Linked DNA regions of Macaca mulatta. The protein of the gene in region 1 interacts with the protein of each later gene in a biochemical or structural test. Links are inferred from orthologs where the notes say so. Each region holds a gene or a part of one and is shown on either strand. Other genes may lie near its edges.

Region 1 (3,647 bases):
CTCGGTTGCCCAGGCTGGAGTGCAGTGGCGCAGTCTCGGCTCACTGCAGCCTCCACTTCCCGGGTTCAAGCAATTCTCCTGCTTCGTTCTCCGGAGTAGCTGAGATTACAGGTGCACACCACCATGCCCGGCTAATTTTTTTTTAGTAGAGGTGGGATTCTACCATCTTAGCCAGGCTGGTCTCAAACTCCTGACCTCAGGTGATGTCCCCGCCTCAGCCTCCCAAGATGCTGGGATGACAGGCGTGAGCCCCTGCCCCTGGCCTAGTGGTTAATGTTTTCATAGATTTTTCCAGACTCTTCGGTTTAACGTATGTCCATGTTTTAATGAGGAAATGGGGTTGTGCTGTGTGTGCCCAGTGACTGTCAGTCAGGGGTCTTGGCCTTACTTGTGTCAGGCACGCGTCCCTGCAGGCTCTTGGCCTGGCGAGCTCTGGGGACGGCTGTGCGGCTGCCTTCTGGCGCCTTCTGCCGTCCACTTCGCCTGCGTGGCTGTGTGTGGTGATCCACGGCTCTCCCTCTCCTCCCGTCGCGCTCGTGCCCCAGAGCTGACCCCCACAGCCTCTTCTCTGGGGTGCCTGTGCTCGTGTGAACGGGAAACACGGGCGTGTCCGCACACACAGGCGAGGCTTTCTTGACGGGTTGACACTTAACGGTTCCTGCTTCTCCTGTTACATTGAGGCTCTTCCCGCCTGCTTGTATTTCTCAGAGTGAAATTGCACAGATTTCCTCACAGAGGCCTCACCTATTTTTGTTTTTATTTTGTATAAGCAGAATCTTAAAAACGACCTTTAAAATATTGCACACATAATCCACGTGTCTTCCTCACCCCAGGACCCACCAGCGTCCCGGGCACCTTCCGTCCTGCACTTGCTGGCAGCTGGTGTCGTGGGGTCGTCCTGGGGCAGCGTCCTGGTGCTGGGGGGTCCCGGCTCTGAGCAGCCATGGTGGGCGGGTCCCGTGAGGCCTCCTGGGAAGTGCCCTGCAAGCACCTGCTGGCCCCTGGAGGTCACGGGGGAGCTGGCCCTGGTCATCCCTCTGTGCAGATGTCCTCAGCGGCCCTGGCCTGGCCGTCTCACCTGGCCCATGTGGCTGGCTCCTTGGCCCAGTTCTTCCCGGCCACCTCCCTGAGGCGCCTCCCCGAGATCCCAGCGCAGAAATAAAAGCCATACTATTTTTATCCCTCAAAACTCCCTGCGGGCCAACTCACGTGCCCGTGTGGACTGCCGTGCTCGCTGCTTTGTGCCTGTTTTAAATCTGTGTGTGTGTGGGCCTTGTGGCAGCCCGAGTCCCACTGAGCTGTACCAGGCGGGCTGCCGTGGAGCCCGGCCGGGTCAGGGATGGTCCTTGGTGAATAGCACCGCCAGACGCTCCCCTCTCATGGTTCGTGCTGGCGGTGTACCGGCTGCACCTCCACGGCACAGGTCAGGTCACACCCTGGCCCTCCCGTGCATCTCCCCACGGCCGCCACCCGTGCAGTGCCGTCCTCAGGGCACCCGTCACCCGCCCAGCCCGTCAGAGAGCCCGGGAAGCAAAGCATGGAATCTGCCAGGTCCCACCGCCCAGGGACGTCCCAGAGGCCAGACGTCTGCCCTCCATGCCTTGTGCATCCCCATAGGAAGCGCTGGGCTTGTGGGCCGGGCTTGGGGGTGTCTGTCCGCTCCGGACCTGCACACCCCGGTAGCAGCCAGGCCCAGAGCCGTGCCTGATCGGTGACGGGGGCTCGAGGGCCGGGTTGGAGTGCTGAGGCTGCGGCCTCGTTCCTGTTTTCTGTCAGATGGGGTCAGCGTGCAGCCCGGCCCTGCCATGCCAGCCCCGGACGCCCCGGAAGCCCCTTTGCTGCCAGTCCTGGGGGCACGTTCTTGACGGGTGTCCTGGAGGCAGAGCTGGGGGCAGGCCCTCTTAGGGCCTGGTGTACGCGGTGCCCTCCAGAAAGTCTGAGGTAACGGAGCCTCCCTTCCTGCCAGGGGCCGGGATGGCCAGGCCCCCCTTGGTTTAGAATCCTGGCAAGGCCACGGAGAGGCTCCGGCCGTTTCTGCGTTTCCCGTCTCACCTGTGCTGGTTCCTGGCTCCAGGGATGGTCCTGCCTCCTGTCCGTGGCCCTCCCAGCTGCTTCCTTTGCTCCTGCGCTCCGGAAAGCCTTTCTGCCCCCGAGTGGGGCTGCCTGGGCACTCCCTGTTGCCCGGCATTGTTATTTTCTCCTAGCTCTGATGGGTCCTGTGGGGTGTGCTTCGGGGTGGGGCGGGTGGGTGTGACTGCTGCGCCGTCCGGCCTCCCCGCTGCACCTCCTGCCCTTCCCTAGCCCCTCCGGTGTCGTTTCTCCCCTCTGGGCCTCCTCATGCACAGGGCTGTTTCCTAAGGGGTCACTGCAGCCCTTTTTTATTTTTTATTTTTATTTTTGAGACAGTCTCGCTCTGTCGCCCAGGCTGGAGTGCAGTGGCAGGATCTCAGCTCACTGCAAGCTCCGCCTCCCGGGTTCACGTCATTCTCCTGCCTCAGCCTCCCGAGTAGCTGGGACTACAGACGCCGCCACCGCGCCCGGCTAGTTTTTTGTATTTTTTAGTAGAGACGGGGTTTCACTGTGTTAGCCAGGATGGTCTCGATCTCCTGACCTCGTGATCTGCCTGTCTTGGCCTCCCAAAGTGCTGGGATTACAGGCTTGAGCCACCGCGCCCGGCCAACCCCAGCCGTTTTAAGAGAAACCTGAGCGCTGGGATGAGCGTCGGACCCGGGGGAGGAGAGGGGAGGGGGCAGGGCAGGGGCCGGGTCCAGGCACGGAGGTGGCGCCCTCACCCGCCCTGTCCCCCTAGGAAGCAGGTCCTGGGGACCAAGGTGGACGCGGAGCGTGACGGCGTGAAGGTGCCCACCACGCTGGCCGAGTACTGCGTGAAGACCAAGGCACCCGCGCCCGACGAGGGCTCGGACCTCTTCTACGACGACTACTACGAGGACGGCGAGGGCGGCGAGGAGGCCGACAGCTGCTTCGGGGACGATGAGGACGACTCGGGCACGGAGGAGTCCTGACCCCGCAGAATAAACGCGCAGAGTTTACCTCACTAGGGCCGGACCCGTGGCTCCTTCGACGACAGACTACCTCACGGAGGTTTTGTGCCGGTCCCCGTCTCCTCTGGTGGTTTCGTTCTGGGCTCTTTTCTCCTTTCCCGTATTTGTTCTGGGTTTTCATGTGCTTCAGAGAAGAGGGGCTGCCCCACCGCCGCTCGCGTCACTCGGGGCTCAGTGGACGGCCAGGGTGGGAGAGCCCCGCGCACCTCTCCTCGGGAGGGGAGCTGAGCCCCGACGTCTGCTGGGCCCCCTAGCTTCCGGACTGGCCGTACCCCGGAGGAGCCACGGGGGCTGCTGGGAACGTGGGCGGGGGCCGTTCCTGCCACTGCCAGCCTGGGAGACCCAGGTGTGGGTCCGAGGGGCCCGGGCCCGCCTGTCAGCTCCAGGGCCTGGAGCCACGTCCCAGCACCAGTGGACGGATTCACCGTGGCCGACTCTTCTCTCTGCTTTGGTTTGTTTGAAATCTAAATAAAACTACTTTATGAGAGGCCAGAGAAGCTCTGCTTGGGAGGGAGAGGCAGTCTCCAGGTCCGTCAGTGACTGCACACGGCCAGCCCCACTGGGACCCTGGCTTCGCCGGGCGTG
Region 2 (4,074 bases), on another chromosome or scaffold:
CGTGAAATATCTAAGGTGATACAGTCATGAAGGGTTACCCTGGCTATTATAACTGGCTCTACTAGCAAACCTATTCAACGCTTTTCATCAGCACTTTGCTCACTATGCAATCATCACTCTTTTCTGAATGAAGGGAGGATAGTGGAAACGAAGATGAGAGTGTTATCCATATCAGAATGGGCTGACGGGCAAATCTTGGGAGCAGAAAGTATAATAAATCACAAGTGTGAGATAAATTCCAAATACTAAGGAAAGGGAACAAAGTGGGTTCTTGTTGCTGAATCTAGGAATCTCTAAATTACGCTTATAGCTCTAATGTAGATTATCAAAACTGACCCAAATCTACACAAATTCCTAAAGTTGCAGATAAAAGATAAAAATTTGCTTTAATGATCTTCCTAGAATCTAAAACAGCACATTTCTAAGGAGTACAATAACACCTTTTAGAAGGGTGCTAGGGTAAAGACTAGGAAGTCTGGAAAAAAAGTTTCCTTCTGCTGTCACCTGACCTCTAAGTGGGTTTTAACACCTCATAAACAAAATACAAAGGTCTAGCCTAGAATACTTTCCTGAACCCAAAGTACAGCTGTTTGCAAATATGCAAGACTGATCCTGTAGTAGCAGAATACTTGCTATAATTAGAAAGTTTATGATGAAATGTGTCATTTATAGCCTATACTTTGACCTACATTAAAATATCTCAGTAAAGTTTATTTGTTGCAAAGTTTCAATCATTATTTCAGGTTATACATTTCCACTTACTGCTTAAATGTTTTTCCTTCGGGGAGGAAATAGCTTTTTGGGAGAGAAATCTTTTGAAAATACCCTTTGGGAACATTATTTTTAAACTGAAAAGGAACTAAGTGAAAGTTTAGTTTCCTTTAAACTAAAGGAATTTATTTAGGAGATAAAATGTTTAGCAAAACTTGTATTGCAAAAAAAAAAAAAAAAAAAAAAAAAAAGTCTCTTGGATCAGTTAAAAAATGCTTCCCAAACTGGAAACTATGATTCCTAAGTGAGGGTAGGGGCAGCTGTACTGCTGGCAAATAAACTAGATACTTTTAAAGCCTAATATGTTTTGTTTGTTTGTTTTTGAGACAGGGTCTCATTCTGTCACCCAAGCTAGAGTATCGTGGCAGTGGCAGGAAAAAGGCTCACTGTAGCCTCGACCTCCTGGGCTCAAGGGATCCTCCCACCTCAGCCTCCTGAGTAGCTGGAGGCCACCATGCCTGGTCACTTTATTTTAATTTTTAATTGTAGAGATAGGGTCTTGCGATGTTGCCTAGGCAGGTCTCAAACTCTTGGGCTCAAGTGATCCATATAAAATAAGTGGGTCATGTCTAATAACAAGGTCTTTCAAAAGTAAAAGGTAAAAATATCTGAATCCAATTGTTGTAAATCCTCTTTGAAACAAGCCCTTAGAATAAAAGACAAAAGAGCATAAATTGAGAAATCTCTTGATTCTGGTAGGTTTAAAGTCTCATCCCCCCTCAAGGACAGCAATTCTCTTTATGTTCTCCAATTCTCTCATTTTTCAAGACAAGTCAGTTTTCAAACTACAGAAATGTCTGTTTTCTTTAACTACCCTCAATAAAGAACTCCACTGAAGATGCTCTCACAGTAATTTTAAATGCCCTATCTGAAAATACAACTTGCATTTAAACAGCACTTGCTTTTCAAAGTGGTCTGAGATCTTAGAACCATATAAAATATAACAAGAGTAAGCTGTTCTGAAACATTTTGCTTGGTCTAATATTTTAACTCCAAATATCACAGAAAGAGGACATATTTGTAAGAGGGTTCTCCACAAAGGCATGACTCAGAGCAGGGCAGTATCTTCTCCAGGAAATGACATCCGATATGGAGAGGGGGGTGTAATGGAGGTGAAGTTCTACATTTCTGAAAAAAGGGCTTACAATTCTTCGGCTTCCATGAAACTTAGATATTCTTGAATCACACTGTCCCCTTCAAGCCACGCTAGTGCTATCTGACCCGTCTTAGATCAATCCAGATTTAAAAGCCATTCGAAGAGCGGCGGTAAGCTAATCCGGAAATGCAATGGCTGTGAACACTTTCCTGTGTACCTCGAGGAGAACTAAGGGTGTCGTTTTGTGGAAGATGACTCCGGAGCATCACTTTGATGGTGACCAAGACTATTAAAGTTCACTGCTGAATCACGGCCTTTACTCTGTCCACCTTGCGATGAGCTTTTAGAACAGGGGCTGGCCACACAAACCGAAGTGTTTCCTGCTAGTTCCCAACAATCACCCGGTTTTATTTTCCTGGTCACACCCATCACTACCTGAAATTACCTTGTTTACCTCCGTTTATTGCCCATTTCTCTCCCTAGAACACCAACCACCCGGCGCCGGGCGCCTGTTGCACAACCCCTCAGCCCTCAGGAGCCGCAACAGGATCGTGGCTCCGCGTTCCTCCGGCGCCCGGGCAGGGCGACCTCCACCCACTCCCCAAGGCAGGGGACTTTCCAAGGCTTCTGGCGGGCGCCCGTCCAGTCCCAATCCCGAAGTCGGCTCCCGGAGGCCGCAGCGCGGCCCCGGCCTTGCGTGCAGCGCTTACCCATCACCTGGACCCTGCAGATGGCGCACGTATCGCACTCAACGTCCCAGCTCCACATGGCCACCGCGTTCCACTTCTTGAGGGAGAACATCTTGTCGCCTCCCGACTTGGAGCCTGAGCTCCCGGAGTGAGACGCCAGGGCGCAGGTTTCCTCTCCGTCTTCCACGTCGGCCATGGCGGCGCCGCGGAGCCGACGGCGGAGACGTTGGCTTGGGGTAGGCGGGAGGCTAGGGCGGCTCTGCCGGGCCGCCCGACGGGCCACAGCGCCGCCCGCAGGCCGCAGGCCACCGTGGTGCCCAGACCCCGGCCACCCACGATTGGCTGGCGCGGCCCAGTGACGTCACCGGACGCCAGCGGCGGGGGGGCAGGCAGGCCCCGCCCCCGCCCTCCTGGGGCGACCGAGCGGGCTTGGGGCTTCTCGGGGCTACGCTGCCGAATCCGCCTGCCGCGCTGCGGGGTGTTACGTCTGAGCAGGCGCACAGATTGTGCTGGAATGTGTGTCCTGCTTTATGGCTTCATTAAAACTACTGCTCTCAGAAATAATCTTGTTAATTTACTTGTTTGTCTTTTCCCTCCCAAGTGTAAAACTCTATCAGAGCAGGGAATATGTTCTTATCACCACATTGTCCTCGGTATCTACAAAATGCCTGGCCACAAGAGGCACAATTATTTCTTGAGTGAATTAATGATCTTAAAGATCTAGAAATCTGGCTCAGTGATTCTCAGACTTTTTGGTCTCAGGACTCCTTTTCACTTAAAAATTATTAGTCCCTTAAAGAGCTTTTATTTATGTAGGAAATGTATAAATATATATATACACACACACATATGTATGAATATATATACATATATACAATGAATATATGTACATTCATGTATAATGAATATTCATACATTTCCTGTATATGTATACACACGTACATAGAGATTAATGTTTCTTTTTAAGAAATTAAAACATATTTTTAAATGTATTCATTAAAAATCACAGTAATAACCTCATTAGAGGTTATCATTAGAGGGATAACTTCACATACCATGTAATTTCTAGAAACTCCCGTGTACACTCGTAGAATGAGAGTGAAAAGAGAGAAATAGCTCTAAATATTGTTAGGCAACTAGTTTGCCCTCTTTTGACCCCTAAAAGAGGTCAGGATCCCAGGAGTCCCGGTGTGTGGCGACACAACCCACACGTATTTTTCAGGCCCTGCTTCCTCATCTGCAGAGTCTCCATTCCTTCTGCTCAGTACATTTGAGCTAGTTTAACTTCCTCTTTTTATATGTAGGACTAATGAGGTCCGAAGAAGTGAAATGACAAAGATCACATTGTTATTACAGTAGTGCTTCTACTGCTAGCCCACCATCACATGTGTTTCCAAGAAAGCAGGCATCTCCACTGAAAAGAAAGCAGAAGCACAGACAGCCTAAGGAGATGCCTGATCCCACCGTCACCTAGTGGTGGACACCTACTCTGTCAAGTTTGGATTCTGAGCCTCTCGC
Region 3 (3,647 bases), on another chromosome or scaffold:
CAGTTGGCCGACCCCTACTGGGTCTAAAGGGAAATCTGTCATTGGGGCCGCCTCGCCCTGGCAAGATGGGGTTAGGTCCTGGGAGTGGGCCAATTGGATCAAAGCGTGGTCTGAGTGGAGGGAACTGGCTGGGCGTCTCCCCAGGACCAGGAATGAGTGAATTGATTGGGTCTCCAACATAGGGAAGTGTTGGTCTTTGGTCATATTCACCCCCGATAATTCCTGGAGGAAGGCGGGAGCTAGGAAATGGCCTAGGGTGCAAGGGGTTGGGATAGAATGGAATGCCGTGAGTTGACGATGGCAGGAGCATCACAAACCGCCCTTTGGGGGATTCTTTTCTTTGTATGTGCCTCTTCCTGTACAGCTGTAGAAAAAAGAAAAATAAAAGAACAAGATAAGGTAAGTGATCTGGATGTTTCCCTGTAGTTCTAATTTGCTTTCATAGTAAAGATCTATAGGTACACCTCAGAGATATTGTGGATTTAGTCCCAAACCAATGCAATAAACCAAGTCACACAAATTTTTTGGTTTCCCAGTGTATATAAATCCTACGTTTACTATACTAAGTGTGCAATGGCATTATATCTAAAAAGACAATGTACTTAAAAATATTTAAAAATACTTATTGATAAAAAATGCTAACAATCACCTGAGTCTTTAGCAAGTTGCAATCTTTTTGCTAGTAGAGGGTCTTGCCTCCACGTTCATTGCTGCTGACGGGTCAGGGTGCTGGTTGCTAAAGGCTGAAGTGGCTGTGGCAATTTCTTAAAATAAGACAACAGTGAAGTTTGCCACATTGACGGACTCTTCCTTTCATGAAAGATTTATCTGTACATGCGGTGCTGTTTGATCGCATTTTACCCACAGTAAAACTTTCAAAATCAGAGTCAACCTTCTCAAACCCTGCTTCTGTTTTGTCAACTAAATTTATGTAATATTCGAAATCCTTTGTTTTCCAGGAATAGATTTCATTCCAAGAAACCACTGATAAAGAAAAGGTGGTATATGTATACCATGGAATACTACTCAGCCATAAAAAGGAATGAAATAATGTCTTTTGCAGCAACTTAGTTGCAGCTGGAGGCCATTATTTTAAGTGAAGTAACTCAAGAATGGAAAACCAAATCTTGTGAGAGCTAAGCTATGAGGATGCAAAGGCATAAGAATGACGTAATGGACTCTGGGGACTTAGGGGGAAAGGCTGGGAGGGAGGTAAGGGCTAAAAGACTACATCTTGGGTACAGTTTACACTGCTTGGGTGGCGGGTACACTAAAATCTCAGAAATCACCACACTAAAGAACTTATCCATGTAACCAAAAACCACCTGTAACCCAAAAACTGACTTTTTTTTTTTTTTTTTGAGATGGAGTCTCACTGCTCTGTCGCCCAGGCTGGAGTGCAGTGGTGCGATCTCGGCTCACTGCAAGCAAGCTCCACCTCCCAGGTTCACACCTTTCTCCTGCCTCAGCCTCCCAAGTTAAGCTGGGACTACAAGCGCCTGCCACCACGCCCGGCTAATTTTTTGTATTTTTAGGTCAGATGGGGTTTCACCGTGTTAGCCAGGATGGTCTCAATCTCCTGACCTCGTGATCCGCCCACCTCGGCCCCTCAAAATGCTGGGATTACAGGTGTGAGCCACCACACCCGGCCGACTTTTTTTTTTTTTTAAAAAAACCACTTTCTCTCTTCATCCATAAGAAGCAAGTTCTCATCCATTCAAGTTTGACTGTGAGATTGCGGCAATTCAGTCCCATCTTTAGGCTCCACTTCTAATTCTAGCTCTCTTGCTAGGTCCATCACATCTGCACTCCTCCACTGAGGTCTTGAACCCCTCAAAGTAATCCATGATGATTGGAATCAACTTCCAAACTCCTGTTAATGTTGATATTTCATCTCCCCGCCATGAATCCTGAATATGCTTAATGGCATCTAGAAAGGTAAATCCTTTCCAAAAGGTTTTCAGTTTCCTTTGCCCAGATCCATCAGGAATCACTGTCTCTGGCAACCATGGCCTTACAAAATGTATTTCTTAAATAATAAGATTCAAAGTCAAAATTACTCCTTGATCTATGAGCTTCAGAATGCAGTTGTGTTTGCTGACATGAAAACATTAATCTCCTTGCACATCACTGTCAGAGATGTGGGATGACTGGCTGCATTTGTCCATGAGCAGTATTTTAAAAGGAGTATTTTTTATAAGCAGTAGGCCTCAATAGTGGACTTGAAATATTCAGTAAACCATGCCATAAACTACGTACTGTCATTCAGGCTTTGTTGTTCCATTTACAGAGCAAAGGCACAGATTTAGCATAATTCCTTTTTTCTTTTTTTTTTGAGACAGAGTCTTGCACTGTCTCCTGGGTTGGAGTGCAATGGAGCGATCTTGGCTCACTGCAACCTCTGCCTCCCCGGTTCAAGTGATTCTCCTGCCTCAGCCTCCTGAGTAGCTGGGATTACAGATGCGCACCACCACACCCGGCAATTTTCTTTATTTTTAGTAGAGACAGAGTTTCACCGTGTTAGCCAAGATAGTCTCGAACTCCTGACCTCAGGTGATCCGCCTGCCTCGGCCTCCCAAAGTGCTGGGATTACAGGCGTGAGTCACCGCACCAGGCCTGAGTGAGCATAATTGTTAAGGGCCCTAGGATTTTCAGAATGGTCAATAAGCACTGGCTTCAAAAATCACCAACTGCATTAGTCCCTAAAAAAAAAGTCAGCCTGTCCTTTGAAGCTGGGCACTGACTTCTCTCTAGCTATGAAATAGATGGCGTCTTCTTCCAATAGAAAGCTGTTTCATCTACATTGAAAATCTGTTGTGTAATGCAGCCACCTTCATCAGTGATTTTAGCTACATCTTCTGTATAACTTGCAGCAGCTTCTCCATCAGCACTTGCTGCTCTACCTTGCAGTTTCTGTTATGGAGACATTAGAATAGTACCTTATGAAACAGTATAATATATTCTTTTCATAAGGTACTATTTTAACTAGCTGAACAGCTGATGACTACTCCAGCACAAAGACAATTCATTTAAATTTTGTTGCAACAAAAGAATGTTTTACAATAAGTAAAGATGAAAAATAATCATTGTGTTAACATTTTTTCCATATAATTATAAGAAAATAAGGACTGAGTCTAAAGTAAAAGTTGAAAACATTTTCATTTACTGAAATTTAGCGTAAATTAAATGAAAACAGATTTCATTACATCATATAAAAGTGAAAATATACCCTTAATATATTAATTCACTAGTCATTTCTGTGTTATGGACATTAGCCTTAATATTTAAAAATACCTACTTCTTTCCAATCTGTGTCTTGAACTCTGACAGTATTGTCTGCAAAGGAAAAATGAAAAATAAGGATTTAAAAACATTTCATTCATCCAGCATTAAACAATGGGTTTTGTTTTTCTCCTAAGAAAAGTGAAACTTACCCATTAAGCATGAGAAAAAAAGAAAATAAAAACTAATCATTTATATAACACACACTATGTCATTCATATTTTCTTATCTAATTCAAACACTTTCTTGATGGTTAAGGGTGATCACCGCTGCTCTGTGCTACCCAGTAATTCAATGCAGTGACTCCTCAGGGACTATGGAGAAACATGTGGCTACTCTCTTCCTACATTAACTGGTTCTACACT

What was found.
Region 2: the proteins of CDC34 (region 1) and RNF7 form a complex in vitro, tested with the Homo sapiens proteins (5 studies listed by BioGRID). The link is inferred for Macaca mulatta from reciprocal best matches to the Homo sapiens genes CDC34 and RNF7.
Region 3: the proteins of CDC34 (region 1) and FBXO7 form a complex in vitro, tested with the Homo sapiens proteins (2 studies listed by BioGRID, with this or other methods). The link is inferred for Macaca mulatta from reciprocal best matches to the Homo sapiens genes CDC34 and FBXO7.

Annotation. Positions count from the first base shown.
Region 1 is NC_133424.1:1,177,241-1,180,887, forward strand, and holds the end of CDC34 (ubiquitin-conjugating enzyme E2 R1), read left to right. Parts: intron 1-2,809; coding exon 2,810-3,023; 3' UTR 3,024-3,552; downstream 3,553-3,647. UniProt on the Homo sapiens protein: E2 ubiquitin-conjugating enzyme that accepts ubiquitin from an E1 ubiquitin-activating protein, and catalyzes its covalent attachment to other proteins by an E3 ubiquitin-protein ligase complex. In vitro catalyzes 'Lys-48'-linked polyubiquitination.
Region 2 is NC_133407.1:44,728,337-44,732,410, reverse strand, and holds the start of RNF7 (RING-box protein 2), read right to left. Parts: upstream 2,886-4,074; 5' UTR 2,753-2,885; coding exon 2,578-2,752; intron 1-2,577. UniProt on the Homo sapiens protein: Catalytic component of multiple cullin-5-RING E3 ubiquitin-protein ligase complexes (ECS complexes), which mediate the ubiquitination and subsequent proteasomal degradation of target proteins.
Region 3 is NC_133415.1:19,006,336-19,009,982, forward strand, and holds part of FBXO7 (F-box only protein 7), read right to left. Parts: intron 3,337-3,647; coding exon 3,299-3,336; intron 365-3,298; coding exon 1-364. UniProt on the Homo sapiens protein: Substrate recognition component of a SCF (SKP1-CUL1-F-box protein) E3 ubiquitin-protein ligase complex which mediates the ubiquitination and subsequent proteasomal degradation of target proteins and plays a role in several biological processes such as cell cycle, cell proliferation, or maintenance of chromosome stability.